Arabidopsis thaliana: one gene and its partners. The protein of the gene in region 1 interacts with the protein of each later gene in a pairwise test. Each region holds a gene or a part of one and is shown in the gene's direction. Other genes may lie near its edges.

Region 1 (4,086 bases):
ATCAGTGACTACCTTTCTTCTCTGCATCAGTGACTAAGAAGAAGGAGAAGAAGCAGAAACACTATGTCTCCATCAATTTGTGTTTTTATGAATTTTACCCCAAACTACTGTTTCTTTCACCTTTTGCTCCTGTCTCTTGCAAGGACATGTCACTATTTCTCTCTCTCGGCATGAGCCTTTTGCATTTACTGCCGTACAGACCGAGAACGACGGCTCAGGAATTTGGGTCCAAAATGTGTCTGTGTGTAAGTGACATGCATACGTCATCATATGCACGTATTCCAACTTTTGGTCTAAACTGGGACACATGAGCGTTTCAATTGCACTCTGTGTTACCGTTTTGCACTCATTGTGGTTACCGTTTTGCACTCATTGTGGTTACAGCTAGGTTGTGTGACCAAACTTAATAAGATTCTCTAGCGATCAGAGAATATGGTCCGGTTTGCAGTGGTAAAAGATAAGCAGGGTTTACTTGAAATTGATTGTGGTTTTAGGACAAATCAGTTTGAAATCATTCGTTTGAGCTTCTAACCGCTTATTTCAAGTCCAAGTATCCAATTCAATATTGGTAACCGAATTAAAGGTTCGTTTTTAACCGCCATCACTAGTATGTGATCTACCGCTAGTATGTAATGTATTTGACCTCTATGAAATTGGAATCGTTCATACTTAACAAATTTCTAGGAAAAAAGGTTAAAACTATTTTCTTGTATATGCTTCAATCGTCTTGAAGATTACATAATCCAACGCACTAAAGGCTAATAAATTTTTGAAACTGAAGTCCAATCATCGTTATCTACTTCAGCCGACCTTAGGTCCCAACTAGAGAAACTTCTCAATCTCTGATTCTCTGATACACATACGCAGAGGTCTACTTATACACATTGTATACAAGCAGCTAATAATTAGTCATAAATTGTGAAACGTTTAAAAGAAAAGTAAAACAGTTTATTATAAGATATATAGTGAAATTTGGCAGTATGGCAAGAATTCACTCATTGATATAAAACCCCAATGTCATTGTTATTGAATTACAAGAATTCTTATGAAATTTAATAATTATATTTTTGTTATATGAAATTCTGTTATTGTGATATCCTGACAGTGTATATAAATAATGCTTAAAAGAATGAACTAGATATCTCACTGCCATGCAAATTATATAGTGGTCCACCATGAATCTGTATATAAGCATATTACATATCTAAGATGCTTTATTTTAACAAAAAAAAACATGTACTCTTTAATTTGGTCCATCCTCCATCTAAGACCAACCATTTTAGCTGTCAATCTATTTGCCTACTATAATATGTACAGTATTATGGAGCTCAATTGGGATCATCTCACGAAGAAAATCGAAAGGAAACCCCTAATTTTTAAAAGTTTTGGGTCTTAACATTTACTGATGCACATCACATACTATATATAATGGAATTTGCCCTATACCAAATGTAATGTATAAGTTGGTTCTCAGTAATTTTGAACTATTGTTTCGAATGATATATAGCAAAAGATCCATATGTAGTGTGTAATGAAAATGTAATTTTCTTACATTAGTATTTTCTATTGAATGGAGTCAAAGATATCGTTAAGAATGATCGTATGCATCATCAAGATTCAGGACTAGACATTCTAAAGAATGATCTCTAAGTAAGTAGATACATGTGTACACATTTTGATTATGTATATGTGTATCAGTGTATGTATATGTTTTTATTTATTATCTACTATTAGTATGGGTGATTAATGAAAATCATAGCATCTTTCTTTCCGTCAGAAAACATGTGGATAAGAGTGTCTATAGTCTACACACTACACAAATTGCTCTTTATACCTAACTAAAACCCTAGGGATTGGAGCGTATATATATATAGATATCATTTCTTGCTCAGCCTCAACCATATGTTATATTATACACTTTTAGTTTTAGATAACGAGAGAGAATAAATTATAACTGTTCATCATCTCGGTTCTTATCATTTTCCTCAACCTACGTGACAAAGAACTCACTCGATCTGTCTAAACCCAACGACTTCGTCAAGCTTACCAGTTTTTCTGTGTAAGATTAATCATCTTTTTTTCTTGCAGTAATATAATTTGAAACCTTTGTTTTCCTCTTTGGATCCTCAGATCTTCCTATTGATTCAATTGTAATCTATTTCGATTTGAGAATCACTTTCCTTTGATCTTTTTTAAGTATATATACACAAAATATCTAGTAAATTAAATTAATATGCAGTTCGAGTAATATACGTTTTCTTGATCTTAATAGGTTTTTGTTATTTACTCTATTGAAGTTGCTTTCATCTAATTAAAGTGATCACGCTTCCCAAAAATCCACAAACATTCCGAATTTGAACACTTTGTGATGACAATATTGATTTTGTTCATCTGTTTTTTGTTTTTTAGATCGACAGAGGACATGGGAATAAAAAAAGAAGATCAGAAAAGTTCCTTGTCCTTGTTGACGCAACGATGGAATAATCCGAGGATCGTGCGAGTCTCCCGAGCATTTGGAGGCAAAGATAGACACAGCAAAGTGTGCACAGTTCGTGGTCTCCGAGACAGGAGGATAAGGTTGTCGGTGATGACAGCGATCCAAGTCTACGACCTTCAAGAACGATTAGGGCTGAGTCAGCCTAGCAAAGTCATTGATTGGCTCTTAGAAGTTGCCAAAAACGACGTCGATTTGCTTCCTCCTTTGCAATTCCCACCTGGTTTTCACCAACTTAACCCTAATCTCACCGGCCTTGGAGAATCTTTTCCCGGGGTCTTCGATCTTGGAAGAACACAGAGAGAAGCTTTGGATCTTGAGAAAAGGAAATGGGTTAATCTTGATCATGTGTTTGATCACATCGATCATCACAACCATTTCTCGAATTCAATCCAGAGCAACAAGCTTTATTTCCCTACAATTACTTCGTCTAGCAGCTCTTATCACTACAACCTTGGACATCTCCAACAGTCACTACTAGACCAATCTGGTAACGTCACTGTCGCATTTTCTAATAACTATAATAATAATAATCTCAATCCTCCGGCGGCGGAAACTATGAGTTCTCTATTCCCAACAAGGTACCCTTCGTTTCTCGGTGGTGGTCAACTTCAACTCTTTAGTAGCACAAGCTCACAACCAGACCATATCGAGTAGTTCCAGCTGCAGATTATTTTTAGACGATCTTTAACAAGTTGAAGAATTCAAGTCATGTGACATGTAAGGCATTTACTATATGTACATAGAGAGAGGGAGATTTATATGGTTTAATGGTTATTGTTGGATTGATTAATCGTCACATGCGTGTATTTATAGTAGACAGTCTTATTAAAGATTATATAATAGACGCCAAATCTGATGCGAGCAAAGGTACATATTCATAATTCATGTTGTGATTGAGTTGGTAGAATATCTAATTCATTGTACCGCTACAATCAATATAAATAATATCTCTCATACAAACTTTTCACATTTGTATGTAAAGTTTGTAGTGCCTAAATATGCTATAACACAGGCCTCATTGCACGCCAAACCCTAGCTTGTACTCATATGTCCACAACCACATGCATGTGTAGTATACAAGGAACACAACACATATGATATCATCTACAAATAGAAATAAACACACTCATACACACAATGACACAAATATACGTTGTATGTATATATTTTGGGCTTAACATGTAAACTAATCGAACCGAATATTTATTTTCTTACATTTCCGAAACCAAATATGCCGCAAAAGCATTATTGAACCTATTGGAAGGATTTACGACAACTAAAACGTTTTATCCTGAATATTCATATATAGGTATATGATTTGTTGTAGCAGCTTTCCGGTAATTGGATTAATGTAAAGTGAGTAGAATCATATACTCCAACCAACAACTAGCTATATAGAGATAGATTTAGGTGATGAGTATTGCCTTATTGGGATTGGCGAATGAGAGAAGGAAAATGAGAAGAAGATGAGGCAGTTAAGACAGCAACTGAATCTGCAGTCAAGTCAAGCACTGATCCCTATATATCTTCTTTTAATTATTCTTCTTTTTTTCTTTTCTCTTTTGTCGATCCTCTTTTCACTTTCTATT
Region 2 (8,039 bases), on another chromosome or scaffold:
AAATCATGCAACGATTAAGAAAGCTTCAAATCATCTTTTGCGCTTTGAAAAGCTATTGACTTTGGAGAAGATGTAGTTTGGGGAATTTTTTTATTAGTCCTTAGCTCTCAAAAGTTAAAAACTATAATAAACTGTTATAGTTTGTGGAATCCACGTTCCTGCATTCTCAATGTAAACTATCCAAGTTGCTCAATTCAGTGATTGGATATTACAATATACGGCTAGTTTCTTGTGAAACAAGTCGTCCTATAGACTAATGCAAAACAAAACAAAAAAATCAATCATTTTCCTTAACTAACTTTCCACTCTCGGAGAATGAGACTTTCGGCCTTGCCATTCTCGTTGGGGATAAAATATATAATGGGCCAAAAGTTTACTTCCGTCTTATGGCCCATATACGAAGCCCAGAAACAAAAAAAAACTACGATCTTGAATTTATTACAAAAGCATCCATTTTTTCAACAGAAGAATTCCATTTTGAATCTCAGATTTGATCATATTGGCAGAAAAAACACTAATTGAAATAAACTAAAAGTTTGACAAAAAAAAGAAATAAACTAAAAATAAATATTTGAGACTTACGAGGATGAAACAAACTTAAAATGTGAATAGTATTGTAGCAATTCTTTTTTGAAATAATTAACTTTTAGTGATGTAGCAGGAAAAAAGAAAAAACTAAAAAAAAAAAAAAAAAAAAAAGAAAAAACTAAAATGTTAGGCGTTGAATTACTAGTTTTTTTTAGTAGGAGAGTACGAAGAAGGAAGAGGAGGTTAAAGTGCAAGAGAGGCATGAGAGCAGTAAATGGCCTAAAGCCCATGCAGCCTCTGTGTACACATTTAATGCGTCGAAACTATTCGCCACCCTATCGCATACGTACGTACGTATAACTCCATCTATATATCTGTACCTACATATATACAGTAAAAATCAGAAATAAGTTGGGTTATTGTTTTTTTATATATAGTTATTTTAAAGAATCTAGGTAAAGTATAAACTTACTGAAAAGAAAAACTTGAGTGTTAAAGCTATAGCTATAAGGACTTTAAAAAAAAAAACAAAGCTTAAGAACTAGGTAATTAAATACGCAGTATATTTCTCTATATATTCGCGTGATAAATTAAGATGAATGCATGGCTTTTACAAATTATCACCTTTTTAATGGGTGATCCGTATTTTAAATAGCTTAATTGCACGTTATAGTTATAAATGCTTGGGCCACAAAGTAATTAATATTTCTAGGCATGTAAAATGAAGTCTTACTGTGAAAAAAGTGATATTTCATTGACTTCCTTAAATTGAAAAAACAATTGTTTCGTAAACAAAACTCAAAATTAAGGTGATGATTTTTAGATTTTCTTCTTTTAAATGAAATAAAATAAATACATCACTCAATCAACTTCTGTCTGACTAACAATAATACAACCTAAACTTCTATAATATTTAAGAAAATGCCATGTGGAAGAAGAATCATGAAATTTTCCTTCTTTACAATTAAATTTATAACAAAGATATGAAATAATAATAAAATAAAATAGTTAAAAATATAATAGTCATATTTTTTGAAAGTAAAAATTAAATTTATATCTCATAAAGATAAATATTAACTATAACAAGTCATTGAATTTTAGTTAAAAAACTATATAATTTTTTTCCATATTATAAATAATCTAAGAGTATTAAAATTTCAGAAAATTACTTTTAAAATTGTATCCTTGACAAATGGGGACTATTGTCTAACTTTTTCTGTAAATGGAGAACTGTATTAAAGCAAATTTCAATATAGTTAAATCTTTTTTTAATATAGTTAATTTTGTTAAGTGGTGATTTATTGCATATGCATAAGTTATGAATAATGCTAATGATTTTTTAAAAATAACTACATATCTAATAGATAAATGTAAGTCTCATAGGCTCATAGACCGTTAGCCGTCATTCCTCACCACATTATAATATTTTAAATAAATAAAAAATAAAATTATTTTAGGTTGACATTGTATATAAGATGAAAAACAACACATAATTTTGTAACATAAATAAAATAAATTGTAACATATCTCTCTCTCTCTATATATATATAAGCGTGTAGGATAATTAAGTGTCCCTCTCGCACCATTTAATTTCATTGCACCCTCTCAATTCTCTCTGTCATTACTCTCTCATCTCTCTTCCTCCAAGATTTGCACCTACCTTTCAAACCTTTTGCTCGCCAACAAAACCGCGCTTCACAAAACCATCAGCGGTTTTCCGAGAAACAAATCTCAGACCAGACACCGCTCTACTCTTCTCTCTCTCTCCCTCTAGGGTTTCGTCGCTTCTTCCTATATCCCAGTGTATGTCTCGAAAACCTCATCATTTCTGCTGTTTTCTTTATTTTATCCATTAATTCATGTACACAAATTTATTTGTTTAAAGTATCATTGGATCCATTACACTTCAGTTTTCTTAGCATCTTTATAAAACTCTCACTTTCATGATGTTTTTTTTTTATAATTTAATATATCCTGTATGTTGAATTTTCAGTTAGTCATCTATATTTTGTCTTAAATTTTGCCTTCTTTAGCATTAATTAATTGATTTCTTGCCTCTAATATCTTTCATTCCTCTCCTAATTTGCTTTCTGACTTTCTGATTTATTGTATTCTTCTTTAAATAATCTTATCAATTTCTGCATAGTCAGAGATGAAACCTTCAAGAAAACAATAAAGAGGAAAGATTAAAGGTTAGTATTCCCTTGCCTACCAAAAAAAACAGAAAGGTTTGTATTCTCTTCGTATATCCTTATTTTCATTATACGTTTGGTTTTATATATAAACACGTGTATATACTTTATAGTAGTAGTATACATTTACATATTAATGTGTGTAATAAAAACGTTTAAATACGATGATGATGATAAGAAATAGCTGGAAAAAATTAATACATCACCCAGGCCTTATGTCACGTTGGTTGTAAGTTGTATAATAACTATATGTTGGTCCGTCGCACAGGTGCACAGATATAATACTATTTTTTTCATTTCAATTTTTTTTTCTTTCTTAATCGCCAAATAGTAGTTTACACTTTTTCCTGAAGAGTTTTTATTTTTTGAAAATCTACTAATGATTATATTTAATTAAATTTTGTTTTGTTCTCACGAAAATATTGTTTTTTTAATAAACAGGATAGAGTTGGGAATTTATTTGTACCTACTTTTTCCCATTTTATTTGCTTTGAACAAATGAGTCCAACATTTCTCTTTTCGTCTTCTCTTTCCTATCCCATCTAAATCAAAACTGATCAAAATACCTCGAAATTTTAAATTAAATCACCATCCATCAAAGCTATTATAGTGTAGAAATTTTAAAGTTTTTTCTTTGGACAACAATTGATTTCCATCTACACTACATATGATATGACTCTTGAATCAATCATAGTTTTTATTTCAGTCTGCTGATTAGTTTTTTTCTTTTCTTTTAAAAGGGTAAAAAATCGGTAGTTTCGAATAATTTTGAGTATGTGAAAATTCATTATTTTTGGGTTGGTTATTCAATAACAAATTAATTTGTGATTGTGATGTCTTTTTTATGCAAGGCTCTTTTTTCTTGCTTTCAATTAGTGGGTCCTTTGTTTCCTACAATCATCTCCAATTCTTCTGTTTGCTTATATCATTTTGTATGATCTTCAAGAAGAAAGATAAACGACTCCGAAGAAAGATTTAAGTTATTGTTGTTCATACAAAAAGAAGGTTGTAAAGTTGTTGACGTGGACAAAAGTATTGCCATATTTTTCCAGCCTCGAAGAAATTTCCCTTCTTCTTCAAACCCTAAATTTTGACAAAACTCTCTACTTTTTTTTGCTTCTAGGGTTTGCTTTCAGTTTCCGGAGTATAAGAAAAGATGTTCGAGCCAAATATGCTGCTTGCGGCTATGAACAACGCAGACAGCAATAACCACAACTACAACCATGAAGACAACAATAATGAAGGATTTCTTCGGGACGATGAATTCGACAGTCCGAATACTAAATCGGGAAGTGAGAATCAAGAAGGAGGATCAGGAAACGACCAAGATCCTCTTCATCCTAACAAGAAGAAACGATATCATCGACACACCCAACTTCAGATCCAGGAGATGGAAGCGTATGTGTTTAACTTACTCACTTACTTCAATTTTCTTGTGTGTTTTTTGACAATTCTTTTGTTTTGGTTGTTAAATAGGTTCTTCAAAGAGTGTCCTCACCCAGATGACAAGCAAAGGAAACAGCTAAGCCGTGAATTGAATTTGGAACCTCTTCAGGTCAAATTCTGGTTCCAAAACAAACGTACCCAAATGAAGGTATACTTTTTATATTATGAACATATATACATTAGTTAATGGATCTATATATATTAGAGAAAATATATATACTTGTTAATTAAATTGTTATTTCATTCATATTAAGTCTTGTATATATACATTGAAGGGCTTATCTTTATACTTAAGAACATTTTGGGTGGCTGGTGTTTTCTTTCAGAATGAATTCATTGACTTTTGGCAGATTTTAGATCTAGTTGAGACACTTTGACTTAAAATTTCTTACTTATTTTTTTTTTCAATTGAAAAGTTGTTCCTTTGGCAGAACTATATATTTGGCGGATCAAGCTATAGAAAATTGTTTGGTTGTAACAACATTGCCTATTTATTATCTTAGTTAGAGCCATATATAATCTATAGATTGAAACGTTTTGGACACATATGCTTACGTTATGCAAATACGGTGAAACACATAACGTGTACACGAGTGTTTTATTTGAAACATACACTTTTCCTCTTTTTAAGTAAAATCCTTTGTTCCTTCGTTTTACCCAAATTAGAAATAAATCACTTGTATAAAACTTTAGAGATAACCGGAATATAAGTTTTATTTGCGCAGAATCATCACGAGCGGCATGAGAACTCACATCTTCGGGCGGAGAACGAAAAGCTTCGAAACGACAACCTAAGATATCGAGAGGCTCTTGCAAATGCTTCGTGTCCTAATTGTGGTGGTCCAACAGCTATCGGAGAAATGTCATTCGACGAACACCAACTCCGTCTCGAAAATGCTCGATTAAGGGAAGAGGTATGAGAATCAACTATTTTAAATGTTCAAATAATGTTAAGAGTTTTACACTTAAATGTTGTCAAGAAGATAAAATAAAAAATTAGAATTTGTTTTTATACCACTAATGTTATATCGCTTTCACAATAATCATTTCTTTCTTCATAAAATAAAAACTTTTATAGATTTGTATTGAAATTAGAGAATTTAAACATTTTTTTTTCATTGAAGAATAGAAAAAATTATGATATTAAATTGAGATACTAAAACGATATTTTTGGAACTGTAAGGAGTAGTAGTACATAATAACAACATTACTCAACGTTTCTTCTTGTGACCAAACTTTGAAAACCACAAGGATCAATAATCTTTCTTATTTGTCTGTTTTAGATCGACCGTATATCCGCAATCGCAGCTAAATACGTAGGCAAGCCAGTCTCAAACTATCCACTTATGTCTCCTCCTCCTCTTCCTCCACGTCCACTAGAACTCGCCATGGGAAATATTGGAGGAGAAGCTTATGGAAACAATCCAAACGATCTCCTTAAGTCCATCACTGCACCAACAGAATCTGACAAACCTGTCATCATCGACTTATCCGTGGCTGCAATGGAAGAGCTCATGAGGATGGTTCAAGTAGACGAGCCTCTGTGGAAGAGTTTGGTTTTAGACGAAGAAGAATATGCAAGGACCTTTCCTAGAGGGATCGGACCTAGACCGGCTGGATATAGATCAGAAGCTTCGCGAGAAAGCGCGGTTGTGATCATGAATCATGTTAACATCGTTGAGATTCTCATGGATGTGGTAATTAACATTTTCATTTTACTTAAAAGCAATCTTCTCTGTTTAGTTTCAACAACATTGATATGATGTTGCAGAATCAATGGTCGACGATTTTCGCGGGGATGGTTTCTAGAGCAATGACATTAGCGGTTTTATCGACAGGAGTTGCAGGAAACTATAATGGAGCTCTTCAAGTGGTAATTTTTTTTGCTTTTATTCTGTAAAAATTAAATTTCAAACTGAAATAACCACTCTGTTTTGCTTGCAGATGAGTGCAGAGTTTCAAGTTCCATCTCCATTAGTCCCAACACGTGAAACCTATTTCGCACGTTACTGTAAACAACAAGGAGATGGTTCGTGGGCGGTTGTCGATATTTCGTTGGATAGTCTCCAACCAAATCCCCCGGCTAGATGCAGGCGGCGAGCTTCAGGATGTTTGATTCAAGAATTGCCAAATGGATATTCTAAGGTAATATAATAAAAACATTAGGTTATACAAAATGTTTACTTAAGTAGAGAGAATTAATGTAACAGGTGACTTGGGTGGAGCATGTGGAAGTTGATGACAGAGGAGTTCATAACTTATACAAACACATGGTTAGTACTGGTCATGCCTTTGGTGCTAAACGCTGGGTAGCCATTCTTGACCGCCAATGCGAGCGGTTAGCTAGTGTCATGGCTACAAACATTTCCTCTGGAGAAGTTGGCGGTATAACCTACTGTTTGTTTCATAAACAGTTTTCATAATCAGAGTCAGAGTCAGAATCACAGTTCTATATTAATGAATATGCAGTGATAACCAACCAAGAAGGGAGGAGGAGTATGCTGAAATTGGCAGAGCGGATGGTTATAAGCTTTTGTGCAGGAGTGAGTGCTTCAACCGCTCACACGTGGACTACATTGTCCGGTACAGGAGCTGAAGATGTTAGAGTGATGACTAGGAAGAGTGTGGATGATCCAGGAAGGCCTCCTGGTATTGTTCTTAGTGCAGCCACTTCTTTTTGGATCCCTGTTCCTCCAAAGCGAGTCTTTGACTTCCTCAGAGACGAGAATTCAAGAAATGAGGTAACTATTTTAGTTACTACGCTCTCTTGTTCTGTTTTGGACAGAGTTTTGATGTTTTTGTGAGATTTTGCAGTGGGATATTCTGTCTAATGGAGGAGTTGTGCAAGAAATGGCACATATTGCTAACGGGAGGGATACCGGAAACTGTGTTTCTCTTCTTCGGGTAAATGTGAGTTACACCGGGTTTTGAACTATTGTTATAATCATCTGATCCTAGCTAAGAGTTTTCAATCTTTCTTTATGTCACAGAGTGCAAACTCTAGCCAGAGCAATATGCTGATCCTACAAGAGAGCTGCACTGATCCTACAGCTTCCTTTGTGATCTATGCTCCAGTCGATATTGTAGCTATGAACATAGTGCTTAATGGAGGTGATCCAGACTATGTGGCTCTGCTTCCATCAGGTTTTGCTATTCTTCCTGATGGTAATGCCAATAGTGGAGCCCCTGGAGGAGATGGAGGGTCGCTCTTGACTGTTGCTTTTCAGATTCTGGTTGACTCAGTTCCTACGGCTAAGCTGTCTCTTGGCTCTGTTGCAACTGTCAACAATCTAATAGCTTGCACTGTTGAGAGAATCAAAGCTTCAATGTCTTGTGAGACTGCTTGAAAACCATCCATTAGGTACTACTTTCACTAAATATATTCTTCTCGCTTTTACGCCATTATATGATGTAATCATATTTTTCTTCTTCTTTCTGCAGGAAATAACAAAATGGTGATGATGGAAAAAAGAGAGAGATTTCAGTTTGAGAAAAGCGGAGGAGTCAAGATCGAACCTCACAAGAGAATACCATTGAGTGTTTGTTAGTGTTAAGTTTTGGTCTGCTTATTTGATGAAACTAAGCAGTGAAAAACTTTTTACTTGAAAGTGAATATGTAGATGGTTTTACGAGGTTCGGGAATTTGACTTCCCCTGTCACATACTGAATTAGACAAAAACAAAAACTAGGTTAGAAAGAATGCTTTCGGATTTCTTTTTGTGTTACAGTTACTGTTTTTCTTTCCTTCTTGTGGTTAGATGGACCATCATCAGGAATTTGGAGTTTGTCTTTCTTTTGTATAAATATCTTATACAAGTATTTTGGTACTTTTGTAAGCTTATGTGAGTTTGTCTAGGGGAAAGCTCACACTTT
Region 3 (5,777 bases), on another chromosome or scaffold:
AGTAGCTATGTTGTATTTAGAGATTAGTTTAATTAGTGTATCTCTTGAGTGTTTTATTGCAGGTTTAGATAACCTCATACAAGTCGTTACATAGTTATGAGTAAATGAGTTTATTAATAAATTTAGAGAACAATCTATGCCTACCGGTGAATTTTTATATAATAAATTGAATGTTTTATTTTATTGTTATAATTGACTTTCTAATCTAAAAGATAGAATTCTATGAAATTGTACACACTTTTGAAAACAATTTTTTTTTTAATAGAAAATTATAAGAAATTAGATCCATATGGTTATGGGTATTATAATATTTTTATTTATATATATATATATATATATATATATATATATTCTTCTTGCATGACCATATTAATGAGAATATTGGGATCAGAGACTTATTTATAGTGTGTTTTTAGTCTATTGCACTTGTGTTTTGGAATATTATGATATTTAATTCAAAGATGTACCCTTAATGAATGATCTTTTATGATGTCAATGTTTCAGCATCTTATACTGAAACAGAAAATAAGAGGAGGTCTTAAAGGAAAAGAAAACATTTCGAATGCAAAAATTTAACCTTTAACATTTTCGATTTTTTTTAATGAAATTCTAATAATATTGGTTCTAAGCAGCTGATTTTATTTTTTTAATAGTAAGAAATAATATATGTATACATATATATTTAAATATTTACTATCAAAATTTCCGGCATAGCAAGTCATAATTTGTAAGAAATCTTACATTTTGTTGTTTACAAACTCTCACAAGTCACAATGTAAGTTTCGGTCTAGTGCAGTGATGAGGTAAACAAAAAAAAAAATCTATCGATGAGCCAACTTTTTGATCTAGAGCCCTAGGATTTGACGATTTATATATAAATAAAACCCTAGGATTTTCGTTTCTTTTTGTATAAAAATGAATTCATAGGCACTCTATACGTCTCATGAATCATGAAATATAAATCGAGATTAAATAGAAAATTGAATGTTGACCGTGGAACAGAACAAGTGTTGAAAGAAGTGTGTTTGCAGCATGGTCTTATCATAGAGCCAATAGTTGGAAATTAGCAGAATATCGTATAATATCCACTATCCTGTAAAGCATTTTTATAATTCCTTTTTTTTTTCTCGGTTTCTAATGTAATCTTCTATCCGATAACAAATATTCGGATAGTGTGATCTCTCCACTAATATACATACGAAATTACGAAAACTAAAATTATAATTTCATCGATTTGATTAAACTCCAAAAACATCCAAGTCTTGCATCAAATATGTACATTTCTATCATATTGTTTATAATTCTTTTTTTGTTATCCGTAAGTTTTAGGCAGAAACCCGTACAGTGAAACCGAGGACCAGAACAAGATAAACGTAGTCCCCTCTCCTAAGTATAGAATTATAATGTGACACATGATCACAATTTGTTGAACGAACTCTATGTTCAACCACTAGACTACAAATTCTTGGGTTTATATCGTATTAGAAGTATATATAAATCATACATATTTTTTTTAAAACTTTTTTCTTGACTATTCTTTTAAGAAAAAAAAACATTTCATTACTAGAAAATAGTACAAAATATATCATTCAACCTAGCAAGAAACCATAGCCTGAAGTAGCCGCGAAGACCTAGTTGCTTAAACACTGAGTGGTTCATCTTAATTCGAATATTATAAACCACATTTTAATTAAGTAAATTACTTAGTCTTGTTCTAATGTATAAAATAGCCTATGAGAGGAAAACAGAAGAGAGAAGCCTTTGCCTTATCTCTTGTCCCTTCTCTCTTACCTTTATTTTAATTTTCAAATATTTCTTTTTGCTCCCAAAGCAAACGACGTCTTGTCAATCCACTCAAGCCACCCAACTTCTTCATTATTGTTAATCTCTCTCTCTCTCTCTTTCTCTCTTCTTCTCTCTTTCTCTTTTTTTTTTTTTTATTTTCTTCTCTTCCATGTCACTTCCTTGACGAATTCTATATACCTAGTTCGTTTTTTCTTCCTCAAATATATCTTTTTCAATTTATTTGGTTTTTCTTTGGGTGCAACTTCACCTCACAAAATTTTCTCTCTTTTTTTATATTAATTTGAGTTAGGCCTTTTTGATTTCATAGATGAGTCGTCTAGTCGTCTGGATTTGATGTGGTTATAGTCTTACAGAGACCTTTGATTGAAATAAGAACAAAAGCAAGAATACATACATCCTCTTCATCTTACACCCATCCTTTTTTATTTTTCTAGGGTTTTATTTTTTTTTAATTTATTTTTTTTCTTTGATTTTTATATTCTCTCTCTCTCTCAAATCTTTACTCATCTGGGTATGGAAGAATACCAGCATGACAACAGCACCACTCCTCAAAGAGTAAGTTTCTTGTACTCTCCAATCTCTTCTTCCAACAAAAACGATAACACAAGTGATACCAACAACAACAACAACAATAATAATAGTAGCAATTATGGTCCTGGTTACAATAATACTAACAACAACAATCATCACCACCAACACATGTTGTTTCCACATATGAGCTCTCTTCTCCCTCAAACAACCGAGAATTGCTTCCGATCTGATCATGATCAACCCAACAACAACAACAACCCATCTGTTAAATCTGAAGCTAGCTCCTCAAGAATCAATCATTACTCCATGTTAATGAGAGCCATCCACAATACTCAAGAAGCTAACAACAACAACAATGACAACGTAAGCGATGTTGAAGCCATGAAGGCTAAAATCATTGCTCATCCTCACTACTCTACCCTCCTACAAGCTTACTTGGACTGCCAAAAGGTTTGGTTTTATTCTTATTGTTATGTTATAATATATACTCTTTTTTTAAAGATATAATATATAGTTATGTGTGACATATATATGTATGTTCATGGGTCATGGTTTATATAGATTGGAGCTCCACCTGATGTGGTTGATAGAATTACGGCGGCACGGCAAGACTTTGAGGCTCGACAACAGCGGTCAACACCGTCTGTCTCTGCCTCCTCTAGAGACCCGGAGTTAGATCAATTCATGGTTCATTACTAACCAAAGTTGAATTTTAATTAAATGGGTCGGTTCTTTGTGTGTATATGTGTTAGAAGTCTTGATTTTCCTTTTTTATTTTTTGGTATGAATAGGAAGCATACTGTGACATGTTGGTTAAATATCGTGAGGAGCTAACAAGGCCCATTCAGGAAGCAATGGAGTTTATACGTCGTATTGAATCTCAGCTTAGCATGTTGTGTCAGAGTCCCATTCACATCCTCAACAATCCTGGTACATGTCATCAATCTCATATACATACATATATGCACATGTAAGAAATGGCTGGAGAAAACAAAGTGTAGTGGCAAGGTAGGGCTAATGATGGATTGCATAAATTGGCATGTTTCTTTGGTTCATGGTAAATTGTTGTAACATTGAGATATTAAAAAAAAAAAAAATCATAGTCTACATACATTTTCAAATGTTAATTAAGATTATAAGATAATTAAGATAATTGAGATGCATTATTGTTGGAAAGTATGTAAGATACAAATAGGTGTGCATATTTGTTCTTGTTTTCCCCATTGTGGAATCCATCCAAAGATGGGTGGGGCTTATTTTTGTTTTTTTTCTTTTCACTCGGCCCAAAAGTACTATCACAAGAACTTTTGGTGCTGCTCGTGAAGATTTATTTGGGACATTATCTTCTTCGATTTCGTTATGCTAAAACATCAAAATCTCTACTCGGATTAATTAGTCTAATCATAAAGGTAGATGACTAGAATGTTGTTAAATGACTAAACCATTTAACTTCATGAAATATATTATGTTGAAGCAGATGGGAAGAGTGACAATATGGGATCATCAGACGAAGAACAAGAGAATAACAGCGGAGGGGAAACAGAATTACCGGAAATAGACCCGAGGGCCGAAGATCGGGAACTCAAGAACCATTTGCTGAAGAAGTATAGTGGATACTTAAGCAGTTTGAAGCAAGAACTATCCAAGAAGAAAAAGAAAGGTAAACTTCCTAAAGAAGCACGGCAGAAGCTTCTCACGTGGTGGGAGTTGCATTACAAGTGGCCATATCCTTCTGTACGTATAAATTTTCTCTCATCTCTCTTTGCCCTCATATTTTTTAAAATATATACTACAAATTAAGTGTTTTAAAAACCTATCTTTAAGCTAGCAATTCCCTCTGAAGCCGCTATGTTAGGCCAAGTAGGTACTTGCATGACCGATTTTGTGTTTAAATCCTTGTACGGTTTCCAACAACATGGTTTTAAATCCGAATGCTCACAACACTAGAATTAGTCACTAGGATACATATCTTAGTCATGGTGTTCTAACCCTTAACATACTATTTTCTAACACGTATATCAATCACTTTTTTTTAAAAAATGTAAGTTTGTGATGAAATTTTTATCCATATATTTTGAAACAATTTAATTTTTTTTGTAGTTTTAATTAGTTTGAAATGAAATAACTAATCTAACCGACTGTAATGATAGTGAAAAAAACATGTTTAATATTGGTAAATATAAATGACATGTTGTTAAAAAGATAATAAGACAACATATAGTTAGTCGTTACTTGATGTCAAAGAAAAATGAAGTTAGTCATTTTACTTAGAGAATCGTTCAAAACAACAAACTTTAGGTCATTTTCCATTTTTATGTCTAGAATCATTTAAAAATAATTTTCGATTATCTCTAGCATTGCTTTTTATACATTGATTACTACATAAATGAAGATGGTTGGTTTGAGTTGTGTGGCAGGAGTCAGAGAAGGTAGCGTTGGCGGAATCAACGGGGTTAGATCAGAAACAAATCAACAATTGGTTCATAAACCAAAGAAAGCGTCACTGGAAACCATCTGAAGACATGCAGTTCATGGTGATGGATGGTCTGCAGCACCCGCACCACGCAGCTCTGTACATGGATGGTCATTACATGGGTGATGGACCTTATCGTCTCGGTCCATAAGACATCCAAAAGCTTTAGCCACATAATAACAACCTCTCGTTGCTTTCTTGTTACAACTCATGTTTTGAATTCCCCTACATCAGTTTGCTACTTATAGCTTTCTTTGTTTTCACGCCTTTTGTAATGTCTTATGTCGTTCGGGGAGTTTGAGACTTCCTAGTCAGAAATATCCCTTCATTTTATTTTCTCTTTTTTTCGGTGTATTTTGTTTTTTTGTTTTCTCACTAATGTTTTTATTTAATAATGTGTGAAAGGAAAATGCTATTCTGAAAAGGTGTTGCTCCATTTTTTTATTTTATATGGCATGAAATGTATGGTTTTGAAAGACAAAACCCAAATTGATCTAATGGATTCTTACATGCCTTTCCACAAGCTAAAACAAAATCCACAAAATGTAAAACATCGATAGTTGATAAGTCTCAAAACCATCTTTGCTTCGAACACGGTTTCAGGCATATATTATGACTTATGCGAAAGCATTACATCATAATACATAGGTCATGGAATCACTACCAGAAAAAAAAAAACTATTGTCGAAAGATTAAGTTAAAGATTCTCCCTTTGCACCCACTCGTCATCTGATGCGGACATCCAAATTAAACCAAACCGGGACCATACCAAATCAGCCGGTACATTTATCAAACCGATTGATGAAGAGCATTTTGGAGGACTCTTGCCCAATTGGAGTCTCAATCAAGCACAAGGCCTAGGGTTAATTATTCACCAGCAAATTAATTCTAAGAAGACTAATGATGATTCAAGAAGGGTCAAAGACCAGCGAGCCGAGTCACCATATTGTGGGGATATGACCGTTGC
Region 4 (4,821 bases), on another chromosome or scaffold:
ATTGGTCCATCTGCCACCTCATATCAGATTTTGACAATTCACATTTTTTGGTCCATCTATTTTGTGCCGATGCGTATGCATGGTTCTCTATCATTGAAATTTGTTAAGAGACACTTTTTTCACTATTTCAAAAAGACTCAAACAATCTTGTAAACCCAAGTTATTCTTCCTTTTTTTTTTTGTTCCAAAAATGCCTAGTATTTCAAGAATTCAGTAATCCAATTTTACTTGTTTAAAATTGGCTTGTTTATGTAATTAACATATATCACGACTTGTATTACTTCTTTAGAAAAAATAATGTTTGGACTAAAAAGCAGACTAAATATTCATTACGAATGATGTGACACCATTTTCATTTGTTAGCTTCTACTACTATAAAAAATAAATAAAGGAATCAATGAGTGCACCTTTAATTTTTTTGGTTAATCAACGAGAGCACTTGATATCAAGTATGACGATAACCAATCAAAGTAAAAAACTTTGGATGTCTTTTTCTCTTTGCTAGTAAATTAATAATTATACCTACCGAATTTGTAACACATTACACATTGACATGGTGCATGTTTAATCCAATACTATCGACGTCACTCTATACTCCGTAAGTAATAGTATATATACATTGAAATGATCCATTATACCATCTGATAAATTTTTGTGAAGTGGCTAAAAATATAAACAGTTTTTTTTTTTTTGTGAGAAAATGATGTAACGGAGCATAATTATTCGTGGAACACAAGAACATGTAACCAACCATGTAGCACAGCGTTAATTGAGATGGTCCATACGAAGAGCCGTCAACGGTGGGAATGGTCATCTCAATTCTCATCAGGGCCTAGCGTATAAAAATACTTTAGAGACGTGTAATAATCACATGGGATCTTTGGGACCACAGTCTAAATGGCGTACGGTAAGTTCAAGGGACCCGTTTTACACGTGGACCCAATCACATGTTGTCAGTTCTGATTTTCACGAAAATAATTTCGAATATTTTTGTAAGACATTAATTAGTGGGACTAATTGTTATTTTCTGATCTGTGTAATCTTATTATGATTTAAGAATAGTTGCCGTAAGCGACGGCGTTAAGTACATACTACAATTGTATTAACCAATTTTATCTACAAATAGCAAAAAAAATCGAGACTATACTTTAAAAAGAAACGATTACAACTTAACTCTATCGTAACATGTAATTGACAAAATAGTGAATGCTATTTAAGTGTAAAGACTGAATGCTACTATTTGATAATTACTGTTATTTTGAAATGGGTTTATATATACTGCAGTTTACTTTTCTACCCCCTTGCTCGAAACATGCCTACATTATTACAAAGGGGAAGGCTAGGGCACTCAAACAGTATGATGAAAGCTTTTAGTTCCCCATCCAAAGAACAAATATAAAAGTCTTTTGTAATTAATGAAAATGTTACTAGTTCTTATCCACTCTTACAGATAAATACTAATAAGGTTTAATTTTTTTTTTAAAGATCTTATAAAAAATGTTAGAAAAGGAGCTTTTTCTTATATTCAATTTAAATTTTTTAACAATTTAAAACTAAAACGGGAAAACGTCATAGTCCCTCAATCTCTTTTTAATAAAATGGAATATTAATTTCCATAATGGGTTTAATGATGGTTTACTTTTCCCAATACAAAAGTTCCATTTTATTTAATAAGACTATACTAAATACTTAAACTTTTTAATAAAAAATATCTGTATTTTAGATCAAAAGTTACAATCACACAAAACCAACACAACAAACTCCTTAAAAAAGCGACAAAAAGTAAATTGTACCACTAGTTGCATGACAATCTTTTTAGTTGTTCAAAATTGTATGACCATCTAAACTCTAAAGTAATACTAACTTTAGAAAATATTAATCTGTAAAAAGCTATATATTCCCTAATATATTAGTTTATTAATTTCAATATATTCCCTAATTACAAATTTTGGTGTGTGTGTGATTTTCAGCCTTATCTCTTTGAGCTGTAGATGTTGCTGTTAGCCCTCTGATCCATGATTCATCGGACATCGAGCCCCATCACGAGCCTTTTTATTCTCAACAATAATAATCATTTTTTTTCTTATAACCTTCCTCTCTATTTTTACAATTTATTTTGTTATTAGAAGTGGTAGTGGAGTGAAAAAACAAATCCTAAGCAGTCCTAACCGATCCCCGAAGCTAAAGATTCTTCACCTTCCCAAATAAAGCAAAACCTAGATCCGACATTGAAGGAAAAACCTTTTAGATCCATCTCTGAAAAAAAACCAACCATGAAGAGAGATCATCATCATCATCATCATCAAGATAAGAAGACTATGATGATGAATGAAGAAGACGACGGTAACGGCATGGATGAGCTTCTAGCTGTTCTTGGTTACAAGGTTAGGTCATCCGAAATGGCTGATGTTGCTCAGAAACTCGAGCAGCTTGAAGTTATGATGTCTAATGTTCAAGAAGACGATCTTTCTCAACTCGCTACTGAGACTGTTCACTATAATCCGGCGGAGCTTTACACGTGGCTTGATTCTATGCTCACCGACCTTAATCCTCCGTCGTCTAACGCCGAGTACGATCTTAAAGCTATTCCCGGTGACGCGATTCTCAATCAGTTCGCTATCGATTCGGCTTCTTCGTCTAACCAAGGCGGCGGAGGAGATACGTATACTACAAACAAGCGGTTGAAATGCTCAAACGGCGTCGTGGAAACCACTACAGCGACGGCTGAGTCAACTCGGCATGTTGTCCTGGTTGACTCGCAGGAGAACGGTGTGCGTCTCGTTCACGCGCTTTTGGCTTGCGCTGAAGCTGTTCAGAAAGAGAATCTGACTGTAGCGGAAGCTCTGGTGAAGCAAATCGGATTCTTAGCCGTTTCTCAAATCGGAGCGATGAGAAAAGTCGCTACTTACTTCGCCGAAGCTCTCGCGCGGCGGATTTACCGTCTCTCTCCGTCGCAGAGTCCAATCGACCACTCTCTCTCCGATACTCTTCAGATGCACTTCTACGAGACTTGTCCTTATCTCAAGTTCGCTCACTTCACGGCGAATCAAGCGATTCTCGAAGCTTTTCAAGGGAAGAAAAGAGTTCATGTCATTGATTTCTCTATGAGTCAAGGTCTTCAATGGCCGGCGCTTATGCAGGCTCTTGCGCTTCGACCTGGTGGTCCTCCTGTTTTCCGGTTAACCGGAATTGGTCCACCGGCACCGGATAATTTCGATTATCTTCATGAAGTTGGGTGTAAGCTGGCTCATTTAGCTGAGGCGATTCACGTTGAGTTTGAGTACAGAGGATTTGTGGCTAACACTTTAGCTGATCTTGATGCTTCGATGCTTGAGCTTAGACCAAGTGAGATTGAATCTGTTGCGGTTAACTCTGTTTTCGAGCTTCACAAGCTCTTGGGACGACCTGGTGCGATCGATAAGGTTCTTGGTGTGGTGAATCAGATTAAACCGGAGATTTTCACTGTGGTTGAGCAGGAATCGAACCATAATAGTCCGATTTTCTTAGATCGGTTTACTGAGTCGTTGCATTATTACTCGACGTTGTTTGACTCGTTGGAAGGTGTACCGAGTGGTCAAGACAAGGTCATGTCGGAGGTTTACTTGGGTAAACAGATCTGCAACGTTGTGGCTTGTGATGGACCTGACCGAGTTGAGCGTCATGAAACGTTGAGTCAGTGGAGGAACCGGTTCGGGTCTGCTGGGTTTGCGGCTGCACATATTGGTTCGAATGCGTTTAAGCAAGCGAGTATGCTTTTGGCTCTGTTCAACGGCGGTGAGGGTTATCGGGTGGAGGAGAGTGACGGCTGTCTCATGTTGGGTTGGCACACACGACCGCTCATAGCCACCTCGGCTTGGAAACTCTCCACCAATTAGATGGTGGCTCAATGAATTGATCTGTTGAACCGGTTATGATGATAGATTTCCGACCGAAGCCAAACTAAATCCTACTGTTTTTCCCTTTGTCACTTGTTAAGATCTTATCTTTCATTATATTAGGTAATTGAAAAATTTTAATCTCGCTTTGGAGAGTTTTTTTTTTTTGCATGTGACATTGGAGGGTAAATTGGATAGGCAGAAATAGAAGTATGTGTTACCAAGTATGTGCAATTGGTTGAAATAAAATCATCTTGAGTGTCACCATCTATAAAATTCATTGTAATGACTAATGAGCCTGATTAAACTGTCTCTTATGATAATGTGCTGATTCTCATGAATATGCTCTTTTAATGTGCATGGTATTATAGGTGGACCAGATTATTTTAACAATGCTAAGTCGTTTTCAGTTTTCTTATTTGTTAATTTGAAAGAAGAAAAGTAAACAAAAGAAACCGAAAAGATACAAATGTCCACCTTTAATACATGTATCTGAAAGATATAGTAGGCGATTATATATGTCACCTAAAAAAAAAAAAGAGTAGGCGGATTATATTGTTCAACATCAACTGCACATAAATAATTCCACATATGTAAAAATGGGAGATGTTGATGTTCTTCGTAAATAAAAGACTGAAGTTTTTTTTTTTTTTTTTTGACAGCAATTGAAGTTGGTTTACGAACTTGTTTAAGAGATAAAAAAACATTCGACAGTGGTGGTAGTAGACTAGACTTCACTCGTGACCCTTTGGTATTATATAGTTGAGTGACTGTGACATTTGATCCTTTGTGATGTATAAAAAGGGCACGAGGGCGGTTTGATGGTTGATTATAGTCAACTTTTGCTACCCCACATATATGGGCCGAATAAGTGCTAATGGGCCTTAGTAAAAATCCCAAAACAAGTAGAAATGGTTCAGAAAAAAAGATAGCAACTTTGAGGTGG

Evidence for each region.
Region 2: the proteins of TCP17 (region 1) and HDG2 interact in binary tests that used the Arabidopsis thaliana proteins (3 or more experiments, as listed by UniProt).
Region 3: the proteins of TCP17 (region 1) and KNAT1 interact in binary tests that used the Arabidopsis thaliana proteins (3 or more experiments, as listed by UniProt).
Region 4: the proteins of TCP17 (region 1) and GAI interact in binary tests that used the Arabidopsis thaliana proteins (3 or more experiments, as listed by UniProt).

Annotation. Positions count from the first base shown.
Region 1 is NC_003076.8:2,582,463-2,586,548, forward strand, and holds TCP17 (TCP domain protein 17), read left to right. Parts: upstream 1-1,895; 5' UTR 1,896-2,059; intron 2,060-2,409; 5' UTR 2,410-2,422; coding exon 2,423-3,151; 3' UTR 3,152-3,573; downstream 3,574-4,086. UniProt on the Arabidopsis thaliana protein: Plays a pivotal role in the control of morphogenesis of shoot organs by negatively regulating the expression of boundary-specific genes such as CUC genes, probably through the induction of miRNA (e.g. miR164). Participates in ovule development.
Region 2 is NC_003070.9:1,512,862-1,520,900, reverse strand, and holds HDG2 (homeodomain GLABROUS 2), read left to right. Parts: upstream 1-2,000; 5' UTR 2,001-2,331; intron 2,332-2,674; 5' UTR 2,675-2,720; exon of another isoform or gene 2,721-3,843; 5' UTR 3,844-3,876; coding exon 3,877-4,118; intron 4,119-4,196; coding exon 4,197-4,314; intron 4,315-4,891; coding exon 4,892-5,080; intron 5,081-5,449; coding exon 5,450-5,863; intron 5,864-5,937; coding exon 5,938-6,039; intron 6,040-6,110; coding exon 6,111-6,311; intron 6,312-6,338; exon of another isoform or gene 6,339-6,376; coding exon 6,377-6,551; exon of another isoform or gene 6,552-6,635; coding exon 6,636-6,907; exon of another isoform or gene 6,908-6,980; coding exon 6,981-7,076; coding exon of another isoform or gene 7,077-7,097; exon of another isoform or gene 7,098-7,156; coding exon 7,157-7,513; 3' UTR 7,514-7,527; exon of another isoform or gene 7,528-7,601; intron 7,602-7,607; 3' UTR 7,608-8,000; downstream 8,001-8,039. UniProt on the Arabidopsis thaliana protein: Probable transcription factor. Involved, together with PDF2, in the regulation of flower organs development by promoting the expression of APETALA 3 (AP3) in the epidermis and internal cell layers of developing flowers.
Region 3 is NC_003075.7:5,147,153-5,152,929, reverse strand, and holds KNAT1 (homeobox knotted-like protein), read left to right. Parts: upstream 1-1,770; 5' UTR 1,771-2,319; coding exon 2,320-2,787; intron 2,788-2,898; coding exon 2,899-3,024; intron 3,025-3,128; coding exon 3,129-3,267; intron 3,268-3,814; coding exon 3,815-4,071; intron 4,072-4,754; coding exon 4,755-4,961; 3' UTR 4,962-5,231; downstream 5,232-5,777. UniProt on the Arabidopsis thaliana protein: May play a role in meristem function, and may be involved in maintaining cells in an undifferentiated, meristematic state, and its expression disappears at the same time the shoot apex undergoes the transition from vegetative to reproductive development.
Region 4 is NC_003070.9:5,147,141-5,151,961, forward strand, and holds GAI (GRAS family transcription factor family protein), read left to right. Parts: upstream 1-1,841; 5' UTR 1,842-2,273; coding exon 2,274-3,875; 3' UTR 3,876-4,275; downstream 4,276-4,821. UniProt on the Arabidopsis thaliana protein: Transcriptional regulator that acts as a repressor of the gibberellin (GA) signaling pathway. Transcription coactivator of the zinc finger transcription factors GAF1/IDD2 and ENY/IDD1 in regulation of gibberellin homeostasis and signaling.